Kluyveromyces lactis: one gene and its partners. The protein of the gene in region 1 interacts with the protein of each later gene in a biochemical or structural test. Links are inferred from orthologs where the notes say so. Each region holds a gene or a part of one and is shown in the gene's direction. Other genes may lie near its edges. The genes, in order: CDC45, SLD5, MCM4, MCM2, MCM7, PSF2 and MCM6.

What was found.
Region 2: the proteins of CDC45 (region 1) and SLD5 form a complex in vitro, tested with the Saccharomyces cerevisiae proteins (4 studies listed by BioGRID). The link is inferred for Kluyveromyces lactis from reciprocal best matches to the Saccharomyces cerevisiae genes CDC45 and SLD5.
Region 3: the proteins of CDC45 (region 1) and MCM4 form a complex in vitro, tested with the Saccharomyces cerevisiae proteins (5 studies listed by BioGRID). The link is inferred for Kluyveromyces lactis from reciprocal best matches to the Saccharomyces cerevisiae genes CDC45 and MCM4.
Region 4: the proteins of CDC45 (region 1) and MCM2 form a complex in vitro, tested with the Saccharomyces cerevisiae proteins (7 studies listed by BioGRID). The link is inferred for Kluyveromyces lactis from reciprocal best matches to the Saccharomyces cerevisiae genes CDC45 and MCM2.
Region 5: the proteins of CDC45 (region 1) and MCM7 form a complex in vitro, tested with the Saccharomyces cerevisiae proteins (6 studies listed by BioGRID). The link is inferred for Kluyveromyces lactis from reciprocal best matches to the Saccharomyces cerevisiae genes CDC45 and MCM7.
Region 6: the proteins of CDC45 (region 1) and PSF2 form a complex in vitro, tested with the Saccharomyces cerevisiae proteins (2 studies listed by BioGRID). The link is inferred for Kluyveromyces lactis from reciprocal best matches to the Saccharomyces cerevisiae genes CDC45 and PSF2.
Region 7: the proteins of CDC45 (region 1) and MCM6 form a complex in vitro, tested with the Saccharomyces cerevisiae proteins (5 studies listed by BioGRID). The link is inferred for Kluyveromyces lactis from reciprocal best matches to the Saccharomyces cerevisiae genes CDC45 and MCM6.

The regions. Positions count from the first base shown.
Region 1 is NC_006042.1:1,834,164-1,838,669, reverse strand, and holds CDC45 (DNA replication initiation factor CDC45), read left to right. Parts: upstream 1-1,660; coding exon 1,661-3,655; downstream 3,656-4,506. Other genes in the region: tRNA splicing endonuclease subunit SEN2, read left to right, coding at 1-796; LCL2 (Lcl2p), read right to left, coding at 971-1,375; KLLA0_F19800g (uncharacterized protein), read left to right, coding at 3,972-4,506. UniProt on the Saccharomyces cerevisiae protein: Required for initiation of chromosomal DNA replication. Acts at the origin of replication. Also has a role in minichromosome maintenance.
Region 2 is NC_006042.1:1,023,385-1,026,868, forward strand, and holds SLD5 (DNA replication protein SLD5), read left to right. Parts: upstream 1-1,593; coding exon 1,594-2,472; downstream 2,473-3,484. Other genes in the region: PAC11 (dynein intermediate chain), read right to left, coding at 1-1,282; serine/threonine/tyrosine protein kinase RAD53, read right to left, coding at 2,745-3,484. UniProt on the Saccharomyces cerevisiae protein: Required for DNA replication. Functions as part of the GINS complex which plays an essential role in the initiation of DNA replication by binding to DNA replication origins and facilitating the assembly of the DNA replication machinery.
Region 3 is NC_006039.1:1,537,005-1,541,963, reverse strand, and holds MCM4 (MCM DNA helicase complex subunit MCM4), read left to right. Parts: upstream 1-1,578; coding exon 1,579-4,257; downstream 4,258-4,959. Other genes in the region: mannose-ethanolamine phosphotransferase GPI13, read right to left, coding at 1-997; KLLA0_C17490g (S10 family peptidase), read right to left, coding at 4,409-4,959. UniProt on the Saccharomyces cerevisiae protein: Acts as a component of the MCM2-7 complex (MCM complex) which is the putative replicative helicase essential for 'once per cell cycle' DNA replication initiation and elongation in eukaryotic cells.
Region 4 is NC_006042.1:1,165,281-1,170,431, reverse strand, and holds MCM2 (MCM DNA helicase complex subunit MCM2), read left to right. Parts: upstream 1-2,088; coding exon 2,089-4,722; downstream 4,723-5,151. Other genes in the region: KLLA0_F12628g (NAD-dependent succinate-semialdehyde dehydrogenase), read left to right, coding at 1-36; KLLA0_F12606g (uncharacterized protein), read right to left, coding at 273-1,352; NCL1 (tRNA (cytosine-C5-)-methyltransferase), read right to left, coding at 4,952-5,151. UniProt on the Saccharomyces cerevisiae protein: Acts as a component of the MCM2-7 complex (MCM complex) which is the putative replicative helicase essential for 'once per cell cycle' DNA replication initiation and elongation in eukaryotic cells.
Region 5 is NC_006041.1:2,065,526-2,069,775, reverse strand, and holds MCM7 (DNA replication licensing factor MCM7), read left to right. Parts: upstream 1-1,450; coding exon 1,451-3,931; downstream 3,932-4,250. Other genes in the region: KLLA0_E23211g (uncharacterized protein), read right to left, coding at 1-129; AAH1 (adenine deaminase), read right to left, coding at 4,193-4,250. UniProt on the Saccharomyces cerevisiae protein: Acts as a component of the MCM2-7 complex (MCM complex) which is the putative replicative helicase essential for 'once per cell cycle' DNA replication initiation and elongation in eukaryotic cells.
Region 6 is NC_006040.1:557,771-561,040, reverse strand, and holds PSF2 (DNA replication protein PSF2), read left to right. Parts: upstream 1-1,837; coding exon 1,838-2,443; downstream 2,444-3,270. Other genes in the region: ARG2 (acetyl-CoA:L-glutamate N-acetyltransferase), read right to left, coding at 1-1,515. UniProt on the Saccharomyces cerevisiae protein: Functions as part of the GINS complex which plays an essential role in the initiation of DNA replication by binding to DNA replication origins and facilitating the assembly of the DNA replication machinery.
Region 7 is NC_006042.1:935,310-940,188, reverse strand, and holds MCM6 (MCM DNA helicase complex subunit MCM6), read left to right. Parts: upstream 1-1,559; coding exon 1,560-4,571; downstream 4,572-4,879. Other genes in the region: KLLA0_F10109g (C2H2-type zinc finger protein), read left to right, coding at 1-994. UniProt on the Saccharomyces cerevisiae protein: Acts as a component of the MCM2-7 complex (MCM complex) which is the putative replicative helicase essential for 'once per cell cycle' DNA replication initiation and elongation in eukaryotic cells.

The DNA.
Region 1 (4,506 bases):
GAGTGAACCCAACTGGCAGGCAAGAACAATGTCTCGATTGCAACTAAATGATGCTGATCGAATCAACTTAGAGCATGTTACAGACGTTAGAAGAAGGCAGCGGCTCGAATTCAAGAAACTGAGAGCTGAATTTGAAGCCAAGAAGTTAGAAATGAGACAAAAGGGGATTGTAGACGAACAATTCATTGAACAAGAAAGGTTATTCTTAAAGAATCAAAGAGATAAAGAATTAGCTTTTGAAAAGGACTCGATGCAAATACGTGACGAAGATTTAAGATTAATAGAAGGCAAATCAGTGATTCAACTAGAAAGCTTGCAATTGATGCCCGTCGAGGCTATTTTCCTCTCTTATGCAGTGCCGGTATTGAAGATCACATTGCAACAATTAATGGTTTCGTTGGTACTGGAACCGAAAAGTTTCCAAGACATCAAGAAATTAATTCATCAATATGTCGCGTACCATCATTACAGGTCCAAAGGGTGGTGTGTACGATCGGGGATAAAATTTGGTTGCGAATACTTATTATACAGAAGAGGACCCCCTTTCCAACATGCGGAGTATGGAATCATGGTTTTGGATGCAAACCAGTCAAATGATTACACTTGGTATTCAAGCGCTGCCAGAGTCGTGGGCGGAGCCAAGAAACAGTTTGTATTATGCTACGTTGAACAACTCATACCTGAAGATGACTTAATGGAACTTTGGAAGCAATCAAAGTACGATGAGCTTTTCAGAAACTTTAAAATCCATGAATTGTTATACAAAAGATGGGTTGCAGGTAAGAACAGAGATTAACTGTTCCGAACCGGTAACGATCTTTTCCGCGAAGAACTCAAACGAGTAAAAATAAACCCATGCTAGTTAATTGCATTAAATACAGTAATGGTCTGTATTATATGTCTCTATATATATTATCAGTTTATGTTTGTAATAGTATTATGGCCGATACAGAAAGAAAGATCTCTCATTCTAAATCTTGCCGTCATATACATCCAAGATCCATCCACAATCTCTGAATCCCTCAGTACGTTGAGCTGGTCCCATTACTGGATCATCATAAATCTCTACCAGTGTTGGATCATGTGTTGCTGGCTTTGAGATGCAAATTACCTGACCGTTGGGTAGATTGCATTTCAATTGTGAATTAGGGAACGGACACGCACAATCCGACTTCTGTCTCACACAATCCAATGTCTGTGGACATAAATAATGCGGACAGTCATTATCTAGGAACATTTGCTGGTAAGAGCCAACATCCCGCTGTTGCTGCTGTTGCTGCTGTTGCTGTCTATTCTGGTGACCTGAATCGAAAAAGAATCCAGACACAGCTTGTAAAAAGAATGCTGAACCAATTATTGTTCCCAGTAGTTTCATAGTAAGTTAAGATCTTCGTATTTCGTAATACTGCAATATGAAATATCAGATAGCAGTGTTTAGTACCTATAGTCTTGTAAATCTTGGCATCTCTTCGAATATTTCGAATATTTCGCATGTATGCCATTTATGACAAGTAATCGATTTTCCAAAAATCTTTAAACGTGTAAGTATTCCAAACCAATATTTTAAAGAAATTTATGTAAATACATGAGATGACTAGCTCACGAGGGAAAAGAGACTGCAAACAAAACCACTGCAGGCCATCAAAGTGCCAGGTAGAGGATGTATATTGGCATTGCTGAATTTGTGGGTGCTTATGATAAAATTCTTCACCGATGCAGTTCTCATTCTTCATGTCAGTTGGTGATTTTTGTTTCGTGTTTAAACATTGACGCGTTATGTGCATCGAAGATGCTATCCAGTCTATTCAAGAAGCAATTGGTACAATCACAGTTAGTTCCCGTGTTTGGTTATTCGGAATTGAAGGATCACTATCAGAGACTGGACGAAAATATCAATAGCGTTATATTTGTAGGTTGTGGAGGGATGGTAGATCTTGAATCTTTTTTAGAGATTGATCCACAAGAAAACACGCAGGGTCCATTAGATGAGATTCAATTAGATAAGACTGACGTTGTTCAGAAATTTAAGAAGGAGATATTTGTGCTTGATTGTCATAGACCGTGGAATTTGGATAATTTATTTGGTTCACAGTGCATAACCTGTTTCGATGATGGAACAGTCGAAGAGTCTTTGACAGAGCAAAAGAAAGCATACTACAAACTTATAGAGATAGAGAACGAACTTGGCGATGAATTGGACGATGACAGTGATAGCGAGGAAGAGGAAGATGACAGGGAAACGCAAAATGAGGATAAAGACGACGATGACGATGACGATGACGATGACGATGACGTAGTATTGGGTAAAAGGTCCAGCGATGAATTGAATCCAAAAAAATCACATAAACAACGAAAGCGAGAGTTTCACAACTTAGAAAAAGTGTTACAGGAGTACTATTCACAGGGATCAACGGTGCTGAACTCCCTTTCAGTTCAGATATATTCTCTTTTGTCTGGTATTGGTGAGACAAATCTAGATTATTTATGGTTATGCATTCTAGGAGTGTCCTCTTTGGATAATTCCTTCCCGTTGGTATACAATCGACTATTACCACTTCTGAAAGATGAAGTAAAAAGATTGACACCTAGTGAAAAAACTAAAACGCCAGATTCTTTGAATCTTGAGATTCGTCCCGATTACAGTTTATTCCTTCTGAGGCATACATCCTTATATGATAGTTTTTATTATTCTAACTACGTCAACGCCAAACTGTCACTGTGGAATGAAAATGGCAAGAAAAGACTGCATAAAATGTTTGCACGCATGGGTATTCCGCTGAGTGTTACACAGGAAAACTGGATATATATGGACAATAATTTCAAGAGAGATCTGGGCGTACTTTTCGATAAAAATCTCGATAGATACGGGTTACAAGATATTGTACGAGATGGGTTCTTGAGAACTTTCGGTTACCGAGGATCAATAAGTGCCAGTGAATTTGTCGAATCGATAACCGCTTTACTTGAAGTTGGCAATGCTTCAAACGCACTAGAAAATTTGACAACAGCTAATGTATCTCAAAAAGATGATACGAACCAAGGTGATGAAGAGAATAGGGAGTACGAAGAAGCTGAAGAGCAAAAAATTAACAGAATACTGAAGACAAGGCAAAAAAAATGGATTGCAAATTTTTGGTCAAGTTGGGATGTATTGGACAATAATATGGATATTTTATCTCAGGGGATTAAGCATGCAACATTTTTACAAAGAAGTGTATTTGAAACTGGAGTCGCTATTCTGGAGAAAAGATTAGTGAAACATTTAAGGATTTACAGGCTATGTGTTTTACAAGATGGACCAGATTTGCATTTATATAGAAATCCATTAACGTTATTGAGGCTGGGATCATGGCTCATTGAATACTATGCAGAAAATGACGAAAAACAGTTACTTCCACTGGTATTGGCAACTTTAGATGAGACTTCTGACACATATCTTTGTGCAGGGATTGCGCCAAGGTACCCAAGAGGGTTGGACATTTTACAACAACAACAGCAGAAAACTTTAAATAATTTCACAGTGGCATTTCAACAAATAGCAGCTGAGACAGGTGCCAAAGTAAGGATTGACAATTTCGAGACATCAATTATTGAAATCAGGAAAGACGATCTACAACCATTCCTTGAACGTTTGACATTAAGCGGATTGATTTAGCACGAAGACACAAACATATTAATTTAGGCATATCATGAGGTGAGCTTTCGGCTTTAAATCTAATATATATATATATATTATGTAACAATCTAATCAGATACCTCGAAATTGACACTACTATGGGATGTCCAAGCTGTTTGAAATCTGTTAGGTTTACCATTGATATCACGTGATCATTAAACCAATGCCACAAATGTCAGTCAAAGGTAAGCATTCTAAAATACCCACAATAATTTGTCATAATTATAGGCAAAATGTTGCCAAGAACCAGCCTTCAACCCCTCAACTGTAGCTGTTCAGGCTCTTAAGTTAATACATGGAGCACAACATAGATCTTCCGCGTCTGCCACCCTGGAAAAGCCCGCAGTTCCGCAGGATCAAACATGTCAAACACTCAACAGATGAGGATTTCAACGTTGGGATGGGCACATCGGCAAATGTATTCAGCGACTCTTCGCTCTACACTCCGTTGAATTACAAGAATGAACGCAATAGAAACAGGGATATGAATGGGAAACAAAGGGCACCAGGGATATCTGAAAACACTCTCAGTTTCAAATACGATCCGTCACCTTTCATACTCCATGATAATATACTAAACAAGACAAAAGTGGATCAATTGCAACAACAAGAGGTTGCCATGAGAAGACTTTTTGATAAAGATAGAGCAATACCTGAATCCAGGCTCAATGTACCGTATTACCAAACGCTATGGAGAGAACAGCTAGATTTAATGGATGATGACATGCCAGAAACAAGTCCGAAATTCGATTACTCGAACTCATCTCAAGATCTATACAAACAGCTCCGGCAGTTCCAAACAGCATTTGTCCAAAATGAGGCGTGGAAGT
Region 2 (3,484 bases), about 810 kb from region 1:
TGAAGTTTGGTATGAAACCATTGTTTCCTTCACTAATTTTGTAACACCCTTTGTTATCACCTTTTAGAGGTAATTGACACACTTTGTAAATAAAGCCATCCTCGCAACCAAGATATATGGAAGAAGGATCAGATGGCAGCAGTAGCATACTAATTATGCTCAGTTCGTCATAAAGCGACATTATCAATAGGTGTTGGTAATACTTGTTATCTTTTTTAGTCTGTTCAGTAGAATATGATAAGTCCGTCCTTGGGATAGGAATAATTTTGACATCGTCATCCTCTTTTAATGATAAATCTAAGGTTGATATCAGCTTAAGTTGGCCATTGGTGCTGGCCGCCAGGATGCTATGGTCATTGAATTTTGGAATTATAATTGAAAGTACCGGATAGTGATGATAATTAGTGGAAACAATATTTCTTTCCACCTGAAAGCTATTATTTATTTTGACTGTTCGCAGTTCATATAAGATGAGTTTTCCTGTATAGCAAGAAAGAACGACGGAGGTAATCTTAGAATTAGGATTATCAATAAACTTGCTCCGTACAACATTCTGACCTTGGAATAAAACTGTATCAAGTACCTCACCAGAAGAGACGTGTGTGATTTGAACTAAAGAGCTTTTCACGTATTTGGTTACAAGATGAATCACAGTAACCAGTAAATTATCTAAGACGTCACTGGAAATGACCCTTGCTTCAGAAGTTGAATCAATGGCAACTTTTGGTGAAATTGATAAATACATGCTTATTTTCCCATCACCAGCGATTTGATGAGAAGATGACTTGAGCGCAGCCGCTTCTATAGTCTCCTGTAGTGAAAATGTTTCTTTCTTCAACGTTGCGTAGTCTTCCGCTGAAACGACATTTCCGAAATCAAACACATCCTTTTCAACAACTTCTTTATCCTCCTTGGTCTCTGTAATATCTGAAGTCGATGCTTGCTGTTCTATAAGATCTTGGGAAGGTAGATGTCCATCTTCCATAATTTCATGTTTCCCGTCATATTCATCTGTCTGTATTCCGATATCATATGTTATCACAGCCTCCTTAACAGCGCTCAATTCAAACTCATTTACATCATCTGTTTGCACTGAGATCTCAACAGTTTTTACTTCTTTCTTGACTTCAGATTCGTTGTTATTTATGGAATTGGTGATATGGGAAATGAACGGAAGGGTACAATCTGCTATCTCTTCATGTTTCGAATCAATTTTTTTCCTTTGCAGCTGAAGAGCCTCTATTTTCTGCTTCATCAACTGTAAGCGCTCATTCTTGTCCATATTTCTGGGTATATTCCCCCTGAGGTTGGTGTTGCTGATGAGCGCTTCTTCACTGACGCGTTTTATCTTGCTTCATGTATGGATTTGTTAAGCGTAAACAAAAGATGATAAATAAGATTTGAGTATTATCAAAAATACGATGTTACAGTAAGTTGGATGAATTTCACAATAGGTTGGAGGATAACACATTGCAAGTAAGTCCTTCTTGTCTGAATACACCTTTACAGCAATTATAAAAGCCACCCCGGTGTACTATCCGAACACTTCCTCCGCTTTGAGTCCTGGTGGTAGGATCATATTTCTTTAGTACAATGAGCATTGATATTGACGACATTCTAGCTGAGCTGGATAGGGACACTACAGCTGTTGAACAAAATGCTTCTTCATACCCAGACCAAAGCGATCGAACTCAAGGCAATGATGTCTCTCAGATAAGACCAGCAGATAAGGCGGTTGACCCTGTGGCTCCCACACAGTTTAACAAAATTGACGACTATCAAAAGCTAATTACACATTGGAAGAATGAACGTATGAGTCCGGAGCTGCTTCCATATCCACATCATCTCATGACTAGGACATTAATAAGGATTCAAGAAAGAATTGAACTAATAGAAACACTATCAATGGGATACTTAGAAGATAATCAAGAGTTAACTGTCGATTCAAAGCTACCACTTTTATGCATGGAAGCAGAACTTGAGAGATTGAAGTTCCTAGTTCGATCTTTCATCAGATGCCGGTTAAGCAAAATTGACAAATACAGCATTTACCTAAGACAACAATCCGAACTACCCAATAATGCGGGCCTCAGCAGACTAGATTTATTGATGTCCAAAGAAGAGGTGAAGTACCATATGAAGCATTCTGACATATTACTAAAACTGTTTAACAACGCAGTACTTAAGCACTTACCAGAAGAACTGCAAGCCGTTAACGATACTGAGGGTTCCATCAGTATGATTGATGAACCCGATTGGAATAAAACTGTATTTATACTAGTTTGTGGTGGGGTAGTTGACGAAAGTGGTATTGATTCGAAATTAACGACCGATGATGATGGAAAACACTGTTACTCAGTGATTATTGAAGATTTAAATGAAGAAATTTACTTATTAATCGGGGCAGTATACGTAATACGTTATAGTGTAATACGAGATCTCATGACTGAGGGACGAGTAGTTTTAATATAATGAAAATTCTGAACAGTATTACTGAACCTATGACTCTTCGAAAAATATAGGTTTGTAACGAATGTTTGCCAGCAATAATTTCTCAACAATGTTATTGCGAACACAGCATGTTTTCTACCTAGTGTTATTGACTGCTGGTCTATAGTGCTTTTGAACCAATTTGTATTAGTATTACATCAATTAACGTTGAAAAGTCTATCTAGCATACTCAAAGTGTACCTATTTTTCATATTTACTGTATGCAAAACCCATCCGGCAAGCATATGATCAGCTCAGAGAAATCCTTCAATATCTGGTTTCTGGGCTTGGGCAAGCTTAGCCCTTTTGGTTGTCTGCGGTTGAGATTGAGATAACGACACTGAATGTATTCTTTTCAATCCTGTAGTCGAGTTCATCTCAACGACAGAATCTAATTCCTCGATATTTTGCGAGTTGGCATCTATGTTACTGGAAGAGGACTGGTTTATATTAGATTTGGCATGTTGTGATGATCTAGACTTCATAAATTCCATAAACTTAGGGACTAAAGCTAACTCCTCCTGTGTCTGTTTATGTAGAAGTGTCTTGTTTGTTTTCTCATTGGTATCCAGCTTCCCCTCGTGGAACAAACCAGTGGTATCATTGAACTCAAGCTGGAAAGAAACAGTGACATCATTGATTTTATCCCATATAATTTGGATTTCATCGCCATCATGAAGTAAGATCTTTGTGCCCGGAGTGATTTTCTTTCCATTAACATAGCTTGAGTTAGTACCACTTTGGCAATACCATACATCATCAAGACCTTGAGCTGGAGATTCATAAATACTGTCACCGACAGCGTGTCTTTTCTTCAATATGAAGCAATGTATCCTAGATAAACGATTATCATCAATTTTACAGTTGCATTCGTCTGACCTACCGATGAAGAATGGATTTATCCCTTGTTTTACTTGGACCTTACCTGAAATAGATGAGCCAGGTAAGGAATGCAAAGTGAGAAATAGCCCCTCCCCATTGACCTTTGTAAGTG
Region 3 (4,959 bases), on another chromosome or scaffold:
AATCCTTACTCCAGTTGGCATTCTTCGCGTATAGCCAAAGGACACTTTCCAACTCGTCTTGCGAATCACCACCGTGGTTTCCTGTGTGGTCCATACCGTGATCACCCATAACAACGTATAACGTGTTATCATCTGCAGTGCTTATAATTTTCCGCAATAGCTCATCAACTTGAAGCTGTTTTTCCTTCATGGTAAAATGATTAGGACCGTACTTATGTCCGACATGATCAACTCCTAACATATGTCCGATCAAGATATCGTATTCAGACCGTTTCTCTTCATTGAAATAATACTCCTCTAAGTAAGAAATAACCCCATTATCGACTGTGTCTAAATCCCAAACGTTCAAGGATTCATATGGTACACTTTCTGGAGCCAAATACGGATTAAATAGGGCATCCCAAGTGTCATCACCGGCAAAGAATATTTTCTTGTTATGCAGATAAAGCTGTTTTATTAAGTTATCCTCATCGATCACATCACCATTGAAATTCGATCCTGCATCTATAAATGTAGGCAAGGAACCTGTTGTCAATCCCTTTAATCTTTGTAGCGTAGTTGTGGGAGGATCAGCCAAAAACTTCAACAAGACAGAATCCGTTGAGTTATGGGCCGTCTCATAAAGAACTTTCAAATTGTTATGATAATTAGGGTTGTACTTGGCATGATTTTCATCTACTGGAATAACGAAATCAAACCTCAATGCGTCCACTATTAGTAAAACCATCTTATCGTATTTAGCTTCGAAGGGAAGCTGGGGATCAAGTTCTGCAACGTTATCCAACACCGTCCTTGTTAAAAGGAACCCTTTTGCGAAAAATGCTATGGAAATAAACTGCAATACAGCCAAAGAAGCAAGTAATAGTATGTACAGAGTGTGCGTAGACTTGAACCTTGATATCCGATAGCTCATTCGACTGGACCTCGTTTGAGGCCCCATTATGCTGAGTCTAATTCTCTCTGCCCGATCTCGTTCATCACTAACAGTGGGATTCATCACTTCTTACCAGTTTCCAAACGGGACAAAAACACAACTAAACGAAAGTACAATAAATTCACGTTGAATAATGATATTGTGCAGAAGAATTGAGTCACACTGGCGAAAGTGGTTCGCTTATCTCTCGCCTCTGACAGAGTTCTTGTTACCACTTTATTTCATTTTAAAGGTTAATTTCTTTTAAAACAGAACAATTGTACATCACGTGATCATTGTTCCCTCTTCAAATAATGCAACTCCAATTCTGATCGGCGAAGATACTGACCATTGAGCTGAGTGGATCCATGGTATTATCAACGGTGGCAAGGGCTCATTAGAACCTTGTTTATTTCAATTTGTTCTGTTTTCTTCTTTAGGAAATGTAACTATGTAACCAAAAATGTGTAAAATCTTAACGAGTTTCACTTAGTTCACTCAAAGCATCTCAAACAAGATAACATTATCAATTGAAAGGTGATATATCAGGGAACCTAGGATTATTTAGCTGCTTAGTAGGTTTGATAAAATTGCTGAATTAGCATTTGGATAATAGTGGCAGTATATATCCATAGAACACAGGAAGACAAACGGTTAACAATATTATGTCCTCACCTCCAGCTCAACAACCAAGTTCACCAAATTTGTTTTATGATCCTAGCTCTTCTCCAGCTCCTCATGGTACACAGGATTCCCAGGCATCTCAAGACCGAGGCGTAGGCTCTTCTCCGTTTCACTATCCTTCGTCTTCGTCAAATGCCACGCAAGAGACGGCTCGCGCCGCTCCTAGTAGCAGTGGTTTAAGATCTAACAATTTGAGATCTGATCTATTGAACTATTCATCCTCTCTATCCTCAAGTGCAAGAGAGGGAAGACACTCTAGATCTAGAAGAGGCGAAATTAATGCATCTGACTTATCATCTCCCAGAAGAATTGTCACTTTCAATAACCTTTCCTCATCGGATAATGGATTTTCATCATCATCGAGACCTGCATCTGAAGCTGCTGATCAACCTTTGAAGATCATCTGGGGTACCAATGTTTCGATCCAAGAGTGTGGTAACAGTTTCAGAGAATTTTTGATGTCTTTCAAGTTGAAATATAGAAAGGAGCTAGATGATCAGGAGATTTTCATCAACGAAACAACAGACCAAGAGCTGTATTATGTGAATCAATTGAATCAAATGAGACAACTCGGTACTTCAAACTTGAACCTTGATATCAGAAATTTACTGGCTTATAAACATACTGAAAAGTTGTTTCATCAGATTCTCTATTACCCTCAAGAAATTATAGCTATTATGGATCAAACTGTTAAAGATTGTATGGTATCCTTAGCACTTGATAATGGGTTAGAGAGTTACTTGAATGAAATTGAATCGAAGTTGTTCAAAGTGAGACCATATAATGTGGAAACCAAAAAGGGTATGAGAGAGCTTAATCCTAATGATATTGATAAATTGGTGAGTATCAAAGGTTTAGTTCTAAGATCCACACCTATTATCCCAGATATGAGTGTTGCATTTTTCAAATGTAACGTATGCAATCATACTGTAGAAGTTGAGATCGATCGTGGTATTATTCAAGAACCAGTGAGATGTCCCAGAGTGGTCTGTAATAGCCCAAACTCCATGGTTTTAGTTCACAATAGGTGCACTTTCCAAGACAGACAAGTGATAAAGTTACAAGAAACGCCTGATCTAGTCCCTGATGGACAAACTCCACACTCTGTTTCCCTATGTGTATATGATGAGCTGGTTGATTCGTGTCGTGCTGGTGATAGAATTGAGGTTTCAGGTATCTTTAGATCTATTCCAATCAGGTCGAATCCAAAGCAAAGAGCCCTCAAATCTCTATACAAGACATACATCGATGTGGTTCATATCCAAAAGGTGGCTAAAGATAGAGTCGGTGTGGACACTTCTACTGTTGAACAACAACTCTTGCAGAACCAGATTGATAATGTGGAAGAGATTAGAACTTTGAGTAGCGAAGACATTAGGAGGATCAAAGAAACTGCTCGCCGATCGGATGTCTATGATGTTTTGTCACGTTCCATCGCACCAAGTATTTACGAGTTAGATGACGTCAAGAAGGGAATCTTATTACAACTCTTTGGTGGTGCTAATAAAACTTTCAAGAAAGGTGGAAGATATAGAGGTGACATTAATATTCTACTATGTGGTGATCCTTCGACCTCTAAATCTCAAATTTTACAATATGTTCATAAGATTGCTCCTCGTGGTGTTTACACTTCGGGTAAGGGTTCCTCTGCTGTTGGTTTAACTGCTTATGTTACAAGAGATGTGGATACTAAGCAACTGGTGTTGGAAAGTGGTGCTTTAGTTCTCTCTGACGGTGGTGTGTGTTGTATTGATGAATTTGATAAGATGAACGATAATACTAGATCAGTATTACATGAAGTTATGGAACAACAAACAATCTCTATTGCAAAAGCAGGTATTATTACAACTTTAAATGCTAGAACTTCAATTCTGGCTAGTGCCAATCCTATCAACTCTAGGTACAATCCTAATCTTCCTGTGACTGAAAATATTGATTTGCCGCCTCCATTATTATCAAGATTTGATCTCGTTTATCTAGTGCTTGACAAGGTCAACGAAGCGTCTGATCGTGAACTCGCTAAGCATTTAACCAGTTTATACCTGGAAGACAGACCGGATTCTGTATCTCAAGGTGATATTCTACCAGTTGAATTCTTGACAGCCTACATCAACTATGCAAAACAAAACATTCACCCGGTAATAACTGAGTCAGCCAAGACTGAACTTGTGAGGGCATATGTCGGTATGAGAAAGATGGGTGATGACAGTAGATCAGATGAAAAAAGAATTACCGCAACAACAAGACAGTTAGAAAGTATGATTAGACTTTCAGAAGCTCATGCTAAGATGAGGTTAAGTGAAAGAGTTGAACTTGAAGATGTGGAAGAAGCAGTGAGACTGATAAAGTCTGCCATCAAAGATTACGCTACGGATCCTAAAACTGGTAAAATTGATATGAACCTTGTACAAACTGGTAAATCGGTTGTGCAAAGAAAATTGCTTGAAGACTTGGCGAGAGAAATTTTAAAGATATTGACAGAAAGGACAACAGACACAATAAGTTTCAACGAACTAAGCAAGCTTATAAACGAACAATCGCAAGATAAAGTGGAGAGTATCGAATTATCAAACGCTTTGACAAGATTGCAACAAGAAGACAAGGTAGTAATCTTAGGAGAAGGTCTAAGAAGATCAATTCGTTTGAATGGCCGTGTATGAATAGATATTATCAAGTCTAGTTTTTCTGAGAAAGCCTCTACATAGTTTGCAAAGGGCTAAATGAGAATAACGACCTTCCGCATGTTCTGCTTATATACATACGTTCTGTGTATATATCATCGTGAAAGTGTTTGACATTATAATAGCATATTTAGTTAGAGTAGCCTAAAGAAAGGTCCCCCGAGATCCATCTGTTGATCATTTCCATAGTAGCTAGTGGTTGATAATATGGAACCGTATGACCTGCTTCGAATACTCTGAGGAAAGTAAAGGGTCCGTGGTTTTTGACCTCACCAAACTGGACGGATCCGTTCAAACTATACCATGGGTTTAAGGGTAACGTTTCATAGCTTATATGGTCCTTCCATGTGAGAGCATCGGTCCACGCCATATTACCCAACCAATTACATATGTAGTCTGTATCGCCGGCATATATCAAGACAGGAATGTTCAAATCAAGCAGTTCGGTCACATATTGCTGGAATGGCCTGCTATTATCACCCGTCAGGAAGAAGTCGCTCCCAACTGAAGTATTACATCCGTTATACGAGCTCACTTTCGTACCTAGAGCGTCTTGCACAAATTCTTGGTTCAAGTAAGAGCGGATATATCCTAAGGTCTTCCAACAGAGCCCCGACTCTGGATCTTCACAGGGACCTCTTATATCGCATGGATTCACAGCAGAATCGAAAGCAGGTTGAA
Region 4 (5,151 bases), about 670 kb from region 1:
TACACTGAATTGAAGGCCATCATTGTGGCACCATAGACAATTCACTTTGAAAAACTCTTATATCTACTAAAATGAAGTCTATTCGGATATGCAAGTTATCTCATATGTTATATAAAACTAACACCTTTTTGAATACATACATGTGTAAATGAAAAGTTTAGAGTAGAAGCTCGAGATATCCCTCTTATTGACAATAAATTCTTCTAAATGTAGCAATGTATATAACATATCCACATTTAAAGTTTATGATGATTAAATGTCGTAACAAGAGTTCATTTTTTCTGAGTATCAAAAAACTGCTTGATATCAGATTCACTAACGACCTTATCGTTTTCCGCAAATGGTCGTAGGAAATCTGTTAGTTTTGATTTTATTTGCTGGAAAGCGACTAGACTGGCTAGAGTTTGCTGATGAGACAAGTTTTGAGCTAGGGCCGTTTCTCCCATTTCTACAAGAGATCCTTGCTCTTGTTCCTCCGGGGGTTCATAAACTTTCTCTTCACAAGTGAGGAATGGTGCTGTGTGCATGAAAAAGCTTTTCAAGGAGTCACCTTCTGGAAGTGAATCCCTTAATCGTTTAAATTCTTCCCTATATCCTTCTTTCAAGAATAATGAATATGAACCCGAAGAGTTTTCCATTTCTTCTAGCCCTCTTTTCTTGGTACTTTCCAATGTCATTCCCTCGGAGTTCTGATCCGATACCAGATCTCTCCTGTACACTTTATGTGCTATGATTTTATCACACGCTTCGTGTGATAAAAGCTTTTCAAATATCGAGCTGTACTTGTCAATACAAACCCATGAGATAAATCCTTCGAAACTTGACAGTTCAGGGAATCCTGGTAGCTTTCTGTCTTCTGTAACCGGGTCTGGGTTTTCTTCTATCCCTAGAATGCAGTGATCATGAAACCAGTCCTCATTGCACTCCAAGCCAAGGACGCATTGTAACATCGTTGTCGTTGTATTCGGGTCATACTCTCTATGGCAAGAGCAAAATAACCCTTTGAAATTCTGGCCATACCTGTTACTCATGTCTGGTATATCTGGTGTAGTATTCTTTCTTATATTACAAGGTGTGAACTTCTCACCGTGTTCAAACTGCCTTTCTGTACCGCAATCGCAACTGAAATTCCTCTTATCGAAAAGTTCCACCAAGTCACAGGTACTGTGACACTGAATAGAGCATGAATAGCACACTCCTATACTGTTGCAAGTACGACATGCGAATATTGGCTGTCGAATTGGGCCCATGGAATAAGTGCAATGGCTTGGATCATATGGCATCAGTTTATTTGCTTCATCTTCCAGTTCCTCCTGTCGCTTCACATATTCTTTAACGCTAATCTCGCTCATTCCCTAACACCAACAAGACTATCTTTAAGTGCCAGAACTCACCTTGTAGTAAGAAATGCGTGAATGAAGGTACCCTTTTTGCCTTTAACTTGACGTGTTCCTTATGTTTAAATTTGGGGATATTTCATTGATAGTAAGAGATTTTCCATGTCGATGAATCAATATTCCGTATGATTTTACGTCAATATCGACACATTTGGACGGTTACCGGATGGAAATCGATCTAATATGGGGCACAAAATGCATCACATCATTCCAGAGCTTCAACATCCATACTTTACCTGCAATTGTGTTGCTTCATCGTGTGATTGGAGCTATAAGTACGGTTTTTAAGCGTATGATCCCATGTGATTATCACGTGATCCACGCATCATAATAAAGAAATTATACTAATCAAATGTAGATTGCAAAGCTAAAAGAGGTGAGAACTACCGATTGGTGTTATTGGAATATTGCCATTGCTGTATTATTAGCCCCAACGCTCTACAATGGTCAGATCGTTGCAAAACACCATTTTAGGAAATGTTATTGTTTCAATTAAAGATCATTTTCGTACATTCAACTGAAGAAAAAAGCCGGAAAAAACGTTAAGATCTTAAGATAGCTTTAGATCCCAATGGTCTGAAACAAAGTGTAACAAGTAGGTCATCGAAGCATCAGGAAGACAATTGTGTGATCGGATTTGGTAGTGCGATAATTGAAGATTATTAATTGCTGTTTTTGAAAGTGTTTCAAGATGTCTGATAATGATGAAATAAATAACGGAAGGAGGAGAAGAAGAAGAGCTGATGATGATGAGGATGAGGATGATTCTTTGTCTACACAACCCCGTGAAGGTGGCGCTAACATCCCTAGTTCTCCACAGTTTGAAGACCCGCTTGGATCTCCAGATGAGATAGATTTTGAGAATCCAGATAACGATGGAGATGAAGCTGTCAATGTTCAAGAGGATCTTGAAGATGTGGAAGAAAGAATGAATGAAGTCGATTTGATGGGTGATGATATGTACCGTGATTACGCTTCAAACACAGAACATGATACGTATGAAAGAAGAGGAGTCGACGACCAGGAGCAGCAAGAGTTGTCGCTCGCTGAGCGTAGAAGAATCGATGCACAATTGAACGAGAGAGATCGTTTGGTGCATAGGAACACAGCATACCTTGATGATGATGATGGCGAAGGAGCTGGTGCGCATAATTTGGATGCTATGGGTCTTCCAGTACAGAGGAGACGTAGAAGACGTCAATACGAAGAAGCAGATGATGATTTGTTATCAGATATGGATATAGATCCGTTGGCAGATGAGCTCTCGTTGGAATCTTTGGCAGATGTGAAGGCATCAAGTTATTCTGAATGGATCACTCAACCGAATGTATCACGTACTATTGCCAGAGAGTTGAAATCGTTTTTGCTTGAATATACTGATGAGTCAGGTAAATCCGTTTACGGTGCTCGTATCAGAACTCTCGGTGAAATGAACTCTGAATCCTTGGAAGTTAATTATAGACATTTGGTAGAATCCAAGGCCATTCTAGCCCTATTTTTAGCCAAATCTCCCGAAGAAATGTTGAAAATATTTGATACAGTGGCTATGGAAGCTACACAACTACACTATCCCGATTATACTCGTATTCACTCGGAAATTCACGTAAGAATCTCGGATTTCCCTAGTATATTGAACTTACGTGCTTTACGTGAAACTCATTTGAATTCTTTAGTTAGAGTTAGTGGTGTCGTGACAAGAAGAACTGGTGTCTTCCCACAACTTAAATACGTTAAATTCAACTGTTTGAAATGTGGTGCCACACTTGGGCCTTACTATCAGGATTCAAATGAAGAAATTAAAATCTCGTTCTGCACAAATTGTAGATCTAAGGGTCCCTTCAGAATTAATATGGAAAAAACTCTGTACCGTAATTACCAAAGAATCACCATCCAAGAATCACCAGGGTCTGTTCCAGCCGGTAGATTACCACGTCACAGAGAAGTCATTTTGTTGTGGGACTTGGTTGATATCGCAAAACCTGGTGAAGAAGTCGAAGTGACAGGAATCTATAAGAACACATATGACGGTAATTTGAATGCAAAGAACGGGTTCCCCGTTTTCGCAACAGTACTGGAAGCCAATTCAGTGAAGAGAAGAGAAGGCGGATTGCATGATGGTGATGAACACGAAGGGCTGGATGCCTTCAGTTGGACAGAAGACGAAGAGCGTGAATTCAGAAAGATGTCTCGTGACAGAGGAATCATCGATAAAATCATTTCATCAATGGCTCCATCTATTTATGGGCACAGGGATATCAAGACAGCAATTGCATGTTCTTTATTCGGAGGTGTTCCTAAAAACATTAACGGTAAGCATTCCATCCGTGGTGACATAAACATTCTACTTCTCGGTGATCCAGGTACTGCCAAGTCCCAAATTTTGAAATACGTGGAAAAAACTGCCAACAGAGCTGTCTTCGCTACAGGTCAAGGTGCTTCTGCAGTCGGTTTGACAGCTTCTGTCAGGAAGGACCAAATAACTAAAGAGTGGACTCTTGAAGGTGGTGCGTTAGTGCTTGCGGATAAGGGTGTTTGTTTGATTGATGAATTCGATAAGATGAACGATCAGGATCGTACTTCTATTCACGAAGCAATGGAACAGCAAAGTATATCCATCTCTAAGGCAGGTATCGTTACCACGTTACAAGCCAGATGCTCTATTTTAGCTGCCGCCAACCCGATCGGTGGTCGTTACAACTCTACTCTTCCGTTATCACAAAATGTCAATTTGACTGAACCAATTTTGTCAAGATTCGATATCCTCTGCGTGGTAAGAGATTTGGTTGATGAAGAAAGTGATAATCGGCTAGCATCTTTCGTCGTTGATTCACATATCAGGTCTCATCCAGACAAGGATCTGGATGATTTTGATGATGGTAACGTTCCAACGGAAAATCCTAATGGGGAGGGTGATGAAGAAACTCCGTTATCTGCCAAACAAAGACGCTTGCAGAACCTTCGTAAAAGAGAAGAAGAAATTTCGCCCATATCTCAGCATATGCTAATGAAGTATATTCATTACGCAAGAACTAAAGTTTACCCTAAGTTACATCAAATGGATATGGACAAAGTGAGTAGGGTTTATGCTGATTTGAGACGAGAGAGTGTCACTACTGGTTCATTCCCGATCACCGTTCGTCATTTGGAATCTATCTTAAGAATTGCTGAAGCCTTCGCGAAAATGAGATTATCAGAATTCGTTTCCTCATGGGATTTAGACAGAGCAATTAAAGTAACAGTGGACAGTTTTGTGGGTGCACAAAAGATTAGTGTACGTCGCCAACTACAAAGATCTTTCGCTGTTTATACTATGGGAACAATGTGAAATCAAGATTCAACATTTCCAACGGAAGAAAACAATTCTATAAGCTCAGAACAACAATATACCGTTCCCATTTTTTCCATTATAGATGCAGTACTACATCGCTTATATTAGCATAATATACAAATTTGTAACTAATAGACTTAAATAATGATTACTTCAACCTTCAAAGGAATACCGCTTTTATAATTTCATGTAGAAGTCTATAACTGATAATGTGGAGTGAAGAAACTTATTCAGCCGTGGATGTTTCAGTGACAGTTACAGCAGGTACTTCTTCTTTCTCAGAAGTCTCTTCCTTCGAAGAGTTAGCTGATGCGTCAGCTGCTTCTTGGGCCTTCTTGGCCATATGATCAGCCTTTGGATTTTGTTTGCTGGTTGTTTCGATGCCGAAAATTCTGTACAACAATTCGTGAACATCTTCTTTACAAA
Region 5 (4,250 bases), on another chromosome or scaffold:
CACAGAGTGGGTAGCGAAACCTGAAGCTTGTCTCTTGAATATCGTACTGGCAATCATCTCGTAATAGGTGTATATGTATATAGTTTGAGTTTTATGTTTGTGTTTAACCTCGTGACAATACACATACATATATTTAAATCCTAATATAAAATATACTCTATCACAAGAACCGAATCTTCAACTATTCACATTTCATACTTCTTATATATAAAACTAGAACCGAAAACCATCTTAGTGTAACGATACTAACACTCTGTGTGCATATTAATCTCGGGCTAAACGAAGCATAAAAAAGTCAAACCAAAAACAGTTAAAATGCTAAAGATAACGAGGTAACTGTCAGAAAGTCAGTCTGAGACAGCTGTTCTAACCTGATTTCCAGTTTTAAGGTACATTACAGTACAATGCAGATACTCAGCTAGGCGAATTTTTTTTATTTTGAGAATTTTTTGTTGGCTTTTTCTTTTGCATCTTAGAAACGTGTGTAGGACTGAGAGTTTTGTGCGAAATCTTGAGTGTGTGGACTGAGAAACGGTGAAATAAATGTGGTCTGACTAAGTGTCATTGTGAACGACGCCGACACATAGGGCTGTGCCGGGGCCTGTACCCTTTTCCACACAGTAGTAATAATAATAAACATTAGCTTCGGTGATGTTTAACGGCATAAACTGTAAACTATTGGTATGCCGGTCCGTATGTAGTGCATTTTTGCAACACGTAAACTGGGAAGGAGCTAAATTGATTTTTTAAATTGATTTCTCAAATTTAAGGGTGCGGTTTACGCGTTTGTTTACGTTTTTTGACGTTTACGTACGGTACAACGCGTAAAATGTAAACAATTTATGGGGGGCGGGGAGGTAATAAATTACACCTGGTTTACGCGTTGCGATGACATACCTCTCGTTTACCAAGGGCTATCCCTGAGGGCAGGGGCGGCGGTACACTTTGAGCGAGGGGAAATGTTGAATTTCAGTTTCTGAAACTGGGGTGTCCATTTACGAATGCCAAATTCCTATACTATATCCATTGTCCACTCGATTGGCCCATTGAACACTTGTTAGGCTTAGATAATGCAATGTTAAGGTTGTTTTCACCCAATTTTTGAGGTTACTGCCTCTCTATACCGGGGGTCCAGCCAAGCCAATGTGGTCGTTTATGAAAAGTACTGAAAATTGAAAAATTGAATTGCAATTTCAAATTAAAAATAGACTATAAGAGGGAGGGTAATTATGTTGGTATGTTTTGTCACGTGGTTGTGTCCGGGTAATGCGTCTTTCATCTTCTACCCGATTAGGAACTGTAAAATAAAAATCACTTTCGTTTTTCCAATTGATCTTTGAAACATTTACGCATACACTTTCTGCTAATCTTCAACAACTTCTCCGTTATCAGTTTTCCTACTGTCTGCTGCCACTCACACCAACCAACGATTCAGAACACCACCAGTACCATGGCTTCATCGGTTTTGCCCACACTGGATCTCGGAATTGACTACGAGGTAGCTCAAGATAATATCAAAGATTTCTTGATCCATTACAAAGAGGAAACTATCGGTTCTACTGGGGAGAACGATAATGACGATAACTTGGATCCTGAAGTTGGTCAGGGCCCAAAGTACTTGCAACAATTGCAACATATTGCCAATAGAGAACAAGATATCTTGTATATCGAATTGGACGATGTGTACCATTATCAGCGCACCAAGCAATTTGAAAATTTGTCTTCGTCAAATACAGCAGCACAAGGCAAGAACTTAGTTAACTTACACCGTATCATCATGGAAAACACTAAGCGGTTCACAGAACTTTTCTCCAACTGTGTAGATGAACTATTGCCGCCTCCAACGAAAGATATCGATTACGAAACAGATGTATTGGACGTCATTTTACACCAACGAAGATTGAGAAACGAAAGAAATATCTTGGAAACTAGAGATGAATTCCAACAAATGGCTCAAGGGATGGGCGAAGAGTCTCAAACCAATTTGGATCAATTGGCCACTACGGACGCTGATTTGTTCCCTGCTGCGTTGATTAGGAGATATCATTTGTATTTTAAACCGTTAACCAGCAGATCCACTAGGAAACTGAAACCAATGTCAGTAAGAGAAATTAAAGGCTCTTATTTGGGAAAATTGATTACAGTCCGTGGTATCATTACCAGAGTCTCTGATGTGAAGCCAAGTGTCACAGTCAACGCTTATACTTGTGATCAGTGCGGTCATGAAGTGTTCCAAGAAGTTAATAAAAGAACTTTTACCCCAATAATAGAATGTCCCTCTGCCCAATGTTCCGAAAATCAAACTAAGGGACAATTGTTCATGAGTACTAGGGCATCAAAGTTCAGTGCATTCCAAGAATGTAAAATTCAAGAACTATCAGATCAAGTGCCCATCGGGCATATCCCAAGGACATTAACTATTCACATTAATGGGCCATTAACTAGATCCATGATTCCAGGTGATGTGGTAGATGTTACTGGTATATATCTACCTTCACCATACACTGGTTTCCGTGCTTTGAAAGCTGGTCTATTAACGGAAACGTACCTAGAGACACAGTTTGTGTACCAGCATAAGAAAAAATTCGCATCTTTCCAAGTTGATGATCAATTGAAAGAAAGAGTAGCGAAAATCGTCAACCAAGGTGATGTTTATAACCGTTTGGCTAAATCAATTGCTCCAGAAATTTACGGTAATCTCGATGTTAAGAAATCTTTATTGTTATTATTAGTGGGCGGTGTTGAAAAAAAAGTCGGGGATGGTCTAAAAATCAGAGGTGATATTAACATTTGCTTGATGGGTGATCCTGGTGTTGCTAAATCTCAATTATTGAAATCTATCTGTAAAATTTCTCCGAGAGGTGTCTATACAACTGGTAAGGGTTCTTCTGGTGTAGGTCTAACAGCCGCCGTTATGAAGGATCCAGTGACTGATGAAATGGTGCTAGAAGGTGGTGCCCTCGTCCTTGCCGATAACGGTATCTGTTGTATCGATGAATTTGATAAGATGGATGAAAGTGATAGAACTGCTATCCATGAAGTTATGGAACAACAAACCATTTCAATTTCTAAGGCAGGTATTAACACTACTTTAAATGCCAGAGCCTCCATATTGGCAGCTGCTAACCCGCTATACGGAAGGTATAATCCAAGGTTATCTCCACTTGAAAATATTAATCTACCAGCAGCTCTTTTGTCTAGATTCGATATCATGTTTTTACTACTCGATATGCCAAGCAAAGAAAACGATGAGAAGTTAGCAGAACACGTCACGTACGTTCATATGTATGACAGGCAACCTGATTTTGGTTTCGAACCAATTCCTTCGAGCGAAATGAGAGAGTATATTGCATACGCCAAGACTAAGAGACCTGTGTTGTCAGCTGATGTCAATGAACACATAGTTCTATCTTATACAAGAATGAGACAAGACTCTAAGAAAGCGTTGGATTCTAAATTCTCGTTTGGGCAAGCAACACCTAGAACTTTACTTGCAATTATCAGACTATCACAGGCCTTGGCAAAACTAAGGCTCAGTGACACTGTGGAAATTGAAGATGTAGACGAAGCTTTGAGGTTGGTAGAAGTCTCTAAAGAGTCATTATACAGCGACCGCAAGAACCCATATGAAGATGAAAACCCAACAACCAGAATTTACACAATTATCAAGAAAATGGCGACTGAAAATGGTAGATTTAATAAAAGATTACCGTATGATGCTATTGTAAGAACGATTAGATCAAGAGGTTTCACTATGCTGCAACTGGTAAGCTGTATCAAAGAGTATGAGTATCTTAATGTTTGGCATCAAATAGAAGACGGAAACACCTTGCTATTTATTGACGATATTGATGATACAACGGAAGACAATTCTGATATAACTAACCCTTCGACGCAAAGGACACCGGATGAAGATGTCGATATGGAATAATACCTGACTATCTGCATACCACTAATCTGTTTTGATCCAATAATGCCTTTATTCCTTATTTTAGTTTTAAACCTAGTTTAACGACAAATTTGTATTACTATATACTAACGTTTAAGTAACTTCTAATGTGCCTCTTCTCCCAGATAGACTGAACGATGCAGAAGTAATCACAGTCTATCTTTCAAAACCAAAATTAATTTGTCGAATTCAAAATCTATCTATTTTGTGCATAAACCTAGCTTATGCCATCTACTACTTAGTCTAAGGTAAGTTTACATATTTGTTTACAACTTCTGAAACCTCAGAGAGTAGTTCTTGT
Region 6 (3,270 bases), on another chromosome or scaffold:
TAAAGATAAATGAAGCACTCCGGTACTTCTTTGGAAGTACCATTTATTTACTACGTTGTCTTCACGAGATCTCCAAATTAGTTCGTGTGGGAACTTGCGAAACATCAGATTGAAAATGATATCAGATATTCCGAGAGAGCCCTTTAATTTTTGTGCTACCGCAAATTTGTCCAAATATACGAATTGCTTGTCCTTTGGCCCTTCGTATGTCAAAATTGCAATACCTTCATAATCTCCTATTACGATTATGCTCGCTATGTTACCATTGATCCTGCCGAGATAATGTGATAGGTCCAATGACCTTTTAAAACTTGAATTGATTATCCCATTCAGTTTATTCAAATCGAGTTTTTTCGATACTGGGTCAGATTTGCCAGTTTGAGTAGCTTGCGATGGTGGTAGACCTATGGAATTATCATCGGTCAAAGTCCTGAAGTCAAATATATGGATATCAATCCCCTTCTTGAAAACTGTAGTCACAAGAACTGAATCGTTTGCGGAAGTGACTTCCTCTTCCACGTTGGAAGATGGAAGCTCATACCAGCTTTTCGATTGAGCCGCAGCCGATCTTTTGAATCGAGGTAAAGATGACGATATCAATGAACGATCAGTCAAGATATTATATACCAATGGGTTATTATCTGATAATTTGGACCCTGCTAAAATAGTGGTAATTAGCCCAGTAGACGAATGTGGTAGAACTGATAGCGTTTTATTCATGATTTCAAGGTCTTCCATATGACATTTCAGTTGATCGCTGTTACTAAGAATCTTATCCTGATTCAAAAATAATTGTAGAGATTCTACCAAATTCTTCTCAGTATTATCCACTTGAATAGATTCTAGTTTCTCCAATTGATTTTGATAACTGTTTCTCAATTCTCGATATTCTTGTGACAAATTTACAAAGACATGGCTGTTTGTATGTCTTTCCACAGACGGCAATCCACCATACTTGCTGATAAGGAACACCTTGTCGATATTTATGGGCAAGTTACTCACTAGAGATGATAAGAATCGAGATGGATCGCCAGCCAATTTCTTAAAAGCTTCCTTCTCATGGTACTGATATGGCTCAATAATCGGAATAATATGCGGGTTCAAAATCGGAAGTTTTACGTCAATTGAGCCACGTTCACCGATGGTAATGGGATCTAATACGATTATTGACTTCAGACTCTGATCATGCAAATGATTGTCCAAACGCTGACTTTGGTATGATATGTCTTGGCATAGCGGGTCTACTATTAAAATTGGTCTTAGTCCGAGTGTTTGAATTCTTGACACAGTCTTGCTAAACCCACTAAGTACGTTATCTGAATATTCGGACAAATGTCTCAAAAATACAAGACAGTAGTGATGATTATTCTCATCGGTATATTTGTTCAAATAGTCTTTCGCTTCCCTTTTAGTCACTGTAGAATTCAAAACGCTCATAACCAAACTCCTGCCATGAGCATTAGGTTGATGGTATCTGACCTCTGTGGTCAAACACCTAATCCATGTTTTGATCATAGCACTAGCCCACAAAATGTGCCTTTGGACGTTATATGATGAGATCAAACCATTTATCTGCAAATATGGAAAGTGTATAAAACCATCATTTATTCTAGTTTTATCAATGAGTCAAGTCATCAGAGAAAACTGCCAGTTTAAAGCTTTAGTTAGTCTTTCCTGTTTTTGTTTTTCCTGTGCTGGATTTCAATGTCAAGATTGAACATGGAAAAATAATTGAAGCACAGATATCGATTGGTCATAGTCGCGCATTGAAAGCACTATGTAAGGAAGTAGTGAGCTTGAGGACACTATAGATTAGCAACTCCAACCTGAAATAGAGATGGCACTACCGAGAGATCTATCAATAGGATTTTCTCCCCAAGAGATACAGTTTTTAATTGAAAATGAACCGACACGAATTATGCCCAGAATCACTACGAGGAAGACCAAAAAACAGCTCGCGAAGGATCCTGGCGCCCAATGGTCACTGATCACATGCGATGATTCTACGGTAAATAACATGGTTGCAATGAATAGTTGCGAAGTCACGTTATGGCTGGCTTTACTGTTAAAACAACAGGGAAAGTGTAACGTCGTGGTACCCAGTTGGCTGACGTTACAACAGCTGGAGAAGTATTTAGATTTTGAATTGAAAAACCCATCACGATTCTCCAATCTACCCTGGAATTGGCTAGTGGTATCGTCACTGCTGTTTGCCAGATGCAGCGATGATTTTCAGGATCCAGTTCATCTACTGAGATCTAAGGTCCAAGATCTGCGAGAAGTTCGTTTGGGAAAAGTCAACAAGGGTTTGCAGTACCTGAACGAATCGCATTTACAGCTAGAGAACTTGTCCTTGATGGAAATCAATGAGATGAGACCCTATGCGTGTGGTATCATGGACAAACTGAGGACAATTCATGACTCCAGTAATGACACCACGTGATCAATAATATAATAACCTTTTCCCATTGAATCCAAAATTCCATTCACGAGGTTTCCACCAGTCCCTCCCCTTAATCCAACCTACATGGTTATATGATAACACAGTTGACCATAATCACTAGAAAAGGTCGGGTTACCATGTAAGTACAGGCCTATCAAATAACACATATATTACATACCCTACATGTACCCGCTTCACAGTTTGTAGTAATTCGAAACAACTGATCCATCCCGAACATTCACGCACTGCTTAGTTCTTATTTACGTTTGTGTCGCAAACATGCCTCGCGGGCATGCCTTGCGTGTGCACCCCACGTTCTTGCTTCATCATATTTGTTGTTCTTCAGGCTATTTCGGTTCCTTGCATTGAACTACGGGTATAACTTACAGAAAACGACACAAGGGGGGAACACAAACACGGAAACGAATCACGTTTCTTCAATATTACGTTGGGAAAAGAATTTACCGTAGATAGAAAACAATAACAGTAGAAATTGAGCAGGATGAACTCATAGAGAGCAGCATGGTTGCGTTGATAACTTCCCGCTACGAAGACATTTTACCCGTAACTCTGTGTACCATGTCATAAATACAGCTCAGCATGTTTATAATATATATATATATATCTTTAGGTATATAATAAACCCCGGAAGAGAACAGAGTTGGAAACTCGGGAAATAAAACAAGTGACCTTTGATTCAGTTTATTTGCTCTGTATATAACATGATATTTATAGTAGTTTTTGCTTCCATGGCCATTCTATTTTAGATAGAGTAACCAGCTGAATCCAGTGTTTATCTAGCTAGTTGTTAAAGGAACACGGAATTT
Region 7 (4,879 bases), about 900 kb from region 1:
AAGAGATTCTTATAAGACCCATTTGAGATCAAGGCATTTCATTTATCCTGATAATGTTAAGAATGTGGACCGTGTGAACTCTCATGGACATTGCGGCCGTTGTAAAAAACACTTTGATTCGACAAATGAATGGATTGAACATCATATTGAAAATCGTGAATGTGAAGCTATTTTGCCAACTTTCAAGGGTAACCTGAAGAAGAGTAAAAAGTGTGGGAAGTTGAAAATGATCATGACCTCTGATGGACAGTCACGTTTCATTTCCAACCAAGCAACTATCAGCGAAGCCAAGGTGCCTATCAGCAACTTCATGCCAGAAAATAGGAAGAAGTTATCGAGTGAGTATTCTAAACCGGCTTCTGCCTCCCCGCCCATCAAACAAACCATATCTGACCTGGCTTTGGATAACACTTTTGCTCTGGCTTCAATACCACTAAACTACAATGGAAATATCAATGGAAATATCAATGAACATAACGACAATCAGAATTACGGTCATTTCGAAAACCAAGTGTATGGCAACGGTGTCCCATCTCTCGCTCCCTCGAACTCTGTCCCCTTCACAGGACAACCACAACTAATACCTCATTCGGGATCTCAAAATACAGCTACTCATTTACGCAAATGTACACAACCATTCGATGAATTCTCCTCATTGAACAAATCACCAGTTGAAGATGCAGCTTTGGACACCGTACGGTCTATCTCATCCCAATCCTCCCATGAACATACTGTTCTCCATAAAGAAATGAACTTCATATCTACCGATCAAAAGTCACAAATAAATCCTGATTGGGAAGTACTCCCCCTCGACATCGAGCAAGCAGGCATGTCTATGGAAGAAGAAGTGAAATTCACGAATAACTCGAATGAACCTAAGATTAATACTACTTTACAAAGACAAATGAATGAGTACGCTCTGGGTGAGAGGCACTTCAGAGAAACTCAGCAATTCATGAACTTTTTCAATTATACTTACAATTACCAAGAATGATTGAATCTTTTTCCATTCGGCTTTTCAGTGGACCTATGTCCACATTAACATTTTCGGTTTATTTTATCTGGTTACATTTTTTTCTTTTCTTTCGATTTTAGATTCATTTTCACTTCACCATTAATGCAACTGACTGTCAGGGGGGCTATTTTATCCCTGGCCAGCTTTCTAAAATCCTCGCGTCCATATACTTATATCGCTTAAATAAGATGAATTCTTACCTACGTATCATTAATTTTTATTATCAATTCACCGATGTTTTATCTTCTCCCTATCGAATCAAAAAGAAAAAATTCCATTAAATTGAACTTTGCTGCATTGGTTATCGATATGTTATGGTCGATAGTCAATGGTTTTCCTCGTGTTATACCTCAGTTAACTAATTTTGGATACTTGCAATACCTCTTTAGGAAAAGTAATATTGAATCGCCTTAACTCAGAAATTAAAAAAATGATTTTACATGTTGAAACACTTAAAACATGATCTTCAATGTGAAGGGCATCCAGGTTGAACGGCTCATCCAAAACCGGACATAGTTGGAGCAAGCTGAAAAAATCAGCAACAATGTCGGCACCATCAAGTCCTTTTCAACATGGTCAGCAATCATCCCAGCCTCCCTCTAGTGTAGGTGCTTATGATAGTTCACAATTCGATGATCAGTCGTTAGGAAACAGAACTCCCCAGTTTCCATCTTCTTCCAGAGGAGTGTCAGATGGAAATAGACATTTCGGTACTGATGACACTAGGCAAGGCATTAATTCAGAATCACAAATAGAGGCTATGGAAAATGATTCACAAGAAATTACTCCATTAGCCGGGATCAGGCAGAAAAACTTGAATGCCATCAAAAAGGTTGATGATAAAACTGGTGAAACTGTAAGAGAGGCATTCGAACATTTCTTGTCAAATTTCACCGCCCTCAATGATGAAACAGGTGAGATGGAGAAGGTTTATAGAGTCCAAATTGAATATATGAGATGGTACGAATTGAATACCATATACGTTGACTATAAACATTTGGCCGAGGTGGAAGACGGAGCTTTAGCGGTTGCTATTTTACAACAGTATTACAGATTTTTGCCATTCCTTTTATCTGGGCTAAGAAATGTGGTGAAGAAGTACGCTCCTGGATTATTATTAACATCTGACTCTGTACTTCCTTCTCAATCTCAAGAGAATTCTCAGGACCGCTCTTCGCAAAGAATAGATTCATCTTTGCCAACTTCGCAGGCTGCCACCGCAGGAGGCACTGCCCCATCTACCATTGCCACTAATCCAGATCAGGTTGAACGTGTTTTGCAAATCAGTTTCCTGAATCTCCCAACTGTCCATAGAATCAGAGATATTAGGGCTAATAAGATTGGTTCTTTAATGGCTATTTCAGGCACAGTCACGAGAACTTCGGAAATTAGACCAGAATTATACAAAGCCAGTTTTACATGCGAATTGTGTCGAGCTGTTATTGACAATGTGGAACAAGTTTTCAAGTACACTGAACCAACCTCTTGTCCAAATCCAACATGTGAGAACCAATCTTTCTGGTCATTAAACGTGAACAGGTCCAAATTCTTGGATTGGCAAAAGGTAAGAATTCAAGAAAATTCCAATGAAATTCCATCCGGTTCTATGCCAAGAACCTTAGATATTATTCTTCGTGGTGACTGTGTCGAAAGAGCTAAACCAGGTGATAGATGTAAATTTATTGGTACTGAAATTGTCGTTCCAGACGTTAGTCAACTTGGTTTGCCTGGTGTTAAAGCAAGTTCGACTCCAGATTCTAGAGGTATCTCACGGACAACGGAAGGATTGAACTCAGGTATTTCTGGGCTCAAATCATTAGGTGTTAGAGATTTAACTTACAAAATATCGTTTTTGGCATGCCATGTTGAAAATGTTGGTACCAGTTTCAATGGTAGTAGGATTAATGAGGAGGACGCCGATAAGACATCCAAATTTGATTATATTAACTTGAGAAACTATCAAAACTATGAAATGGCGGCAGAAACTGATCAAGAAATTTTCCTAACAAGGCTTGATTCTGACGAAATTAATGAATTAAAAGAGATGGTGAAAGATGAGAATATTTATGACAAACTGGTGAAATCGATTGCACCAGCAGTTTTCGGGCATGAAACCATTAAGAAAGGTATCCTTTTACAAATGCTTAGCGGTGTTCATAAAACTACTGTAGAAGGCATTAAATTGAGAGGTGACATTAATATTTGTATCGTTGGTGATCCGTCCACCTCAAAATCTCAATTCCTAAAATACGTCTGTAACTTCTCTCCAAGAGCCGTTTATACTTCCGGTAAAGCATCTTCAGCGGCTGGTTTGACTGCAGCTGTGGTGAAAGATGAAGAAGGTGGTGATTTCACTATTGAAGCTGGTGCGTTAATGTTGGCAGATAATGGTGTTTGTTGTATCGACGAATTTGACAAGATGGATATCGCAGATCAAGTTGCTATTCATGAAGCCATGGAACAGCAAACCATTTCGATTGCCAAAGCTGGTATTCATGCAACATTAAATGCCAGAACTTCAATTTTGGCTGCCGCTAATCCCGTCGGCGGTAGGTACAATAGGAAACTGACTTTAAGATCTAATTTGAACATGTCTGCACCAATTATGTCCAGATTCGATTTATTCTTTGTCATTCTTGATGATTGCAATGAGAAGATCGATACTGAGCTAGCTTCCCACATCGTAGACTTGCACATGAAGAGGGACTCTGCTATTAATCCACCATTCTCAGCAGAACAATTGAGTCGTTATATCAACTATGCCAAGACTTTCAAGCCGGTAATGACTAAAGAAGCTCGTGACTACCTAGTCAAAAGATATACAGAACTAAGGAAAGACGATGCGCAGGGGTACAGTAAATCTTCGTACCGTATAACTGTCAGACAACTGGAATCATTAATCAGATTAAGTGAAGCTATTGCTCGTGCTAATTGCGTGGATGAAATTGTTCCGAGCTTTGTCGCTGAGGCGTACGATTTGTTGAGACAGAGTATCATCCGTGTTGATGTTGATGACGTTGAAATTGAAGATGACGATAACTCCCCAGAAGAAAGTACGGAGGGTGAGGGCACAATACCTGCCACACAACACTTCGGCGAAACACTTGATACACAATCTCAGTCACCTTCTCAACCACTGAACGCCGACTCCGAAACGGGGGGTGGTCCTGACGTAGAGTCTCATGACAACGCTCATCACACAACACATAAAGTCGCAATATCATATGATAAATACGTGGAAATGATGAATCTAATTGTACGGAAAGTGGTTGACAGAGAAAAGAATGAAGAACCTGAAATGACAAAAACTGAGATAGTAGATTGGTATTTACAACAGAAAGAAAACGACATCAACACCGAAGCAGAATATTGGCAAGAAAGGAAATTGGCATTCAAAGTCATCAAAAGATTGGTAAAGGACAGGGTCTTGATGCAAATACATGGTCAAAACGACGATCTATCTGCCGATGTCGAATCCTCAAATGCCAAGACAGTGTATGTGATACATCCGAACTGTAGTGTTCTAGATGAAATCACCCCTAACCCACCTCAATGAAAACTTACTAACTAGACTAATTCAACTAAATTGACCATTTGCACTATCTTTGAAATTTGTAACCATAAATAGATATTTCACTTAATTCACATTTACATCTCTACTTTCACATTCACTTTCACATCTGTGCCTTGCTTGAATTCTCAAGAGAACGCCGATCACGTTGCAAACTACGCTAATTGTATAAGAGAAACCAGTTCACCTTTTGACGAGGAATGTCACTCTTCGTCACGTTGTAACCATAAGCAATTATCCCGTCGCCCCTTAAGCTTTGTAATTAACGTACAAAACTACATTTTCTGAAAGCG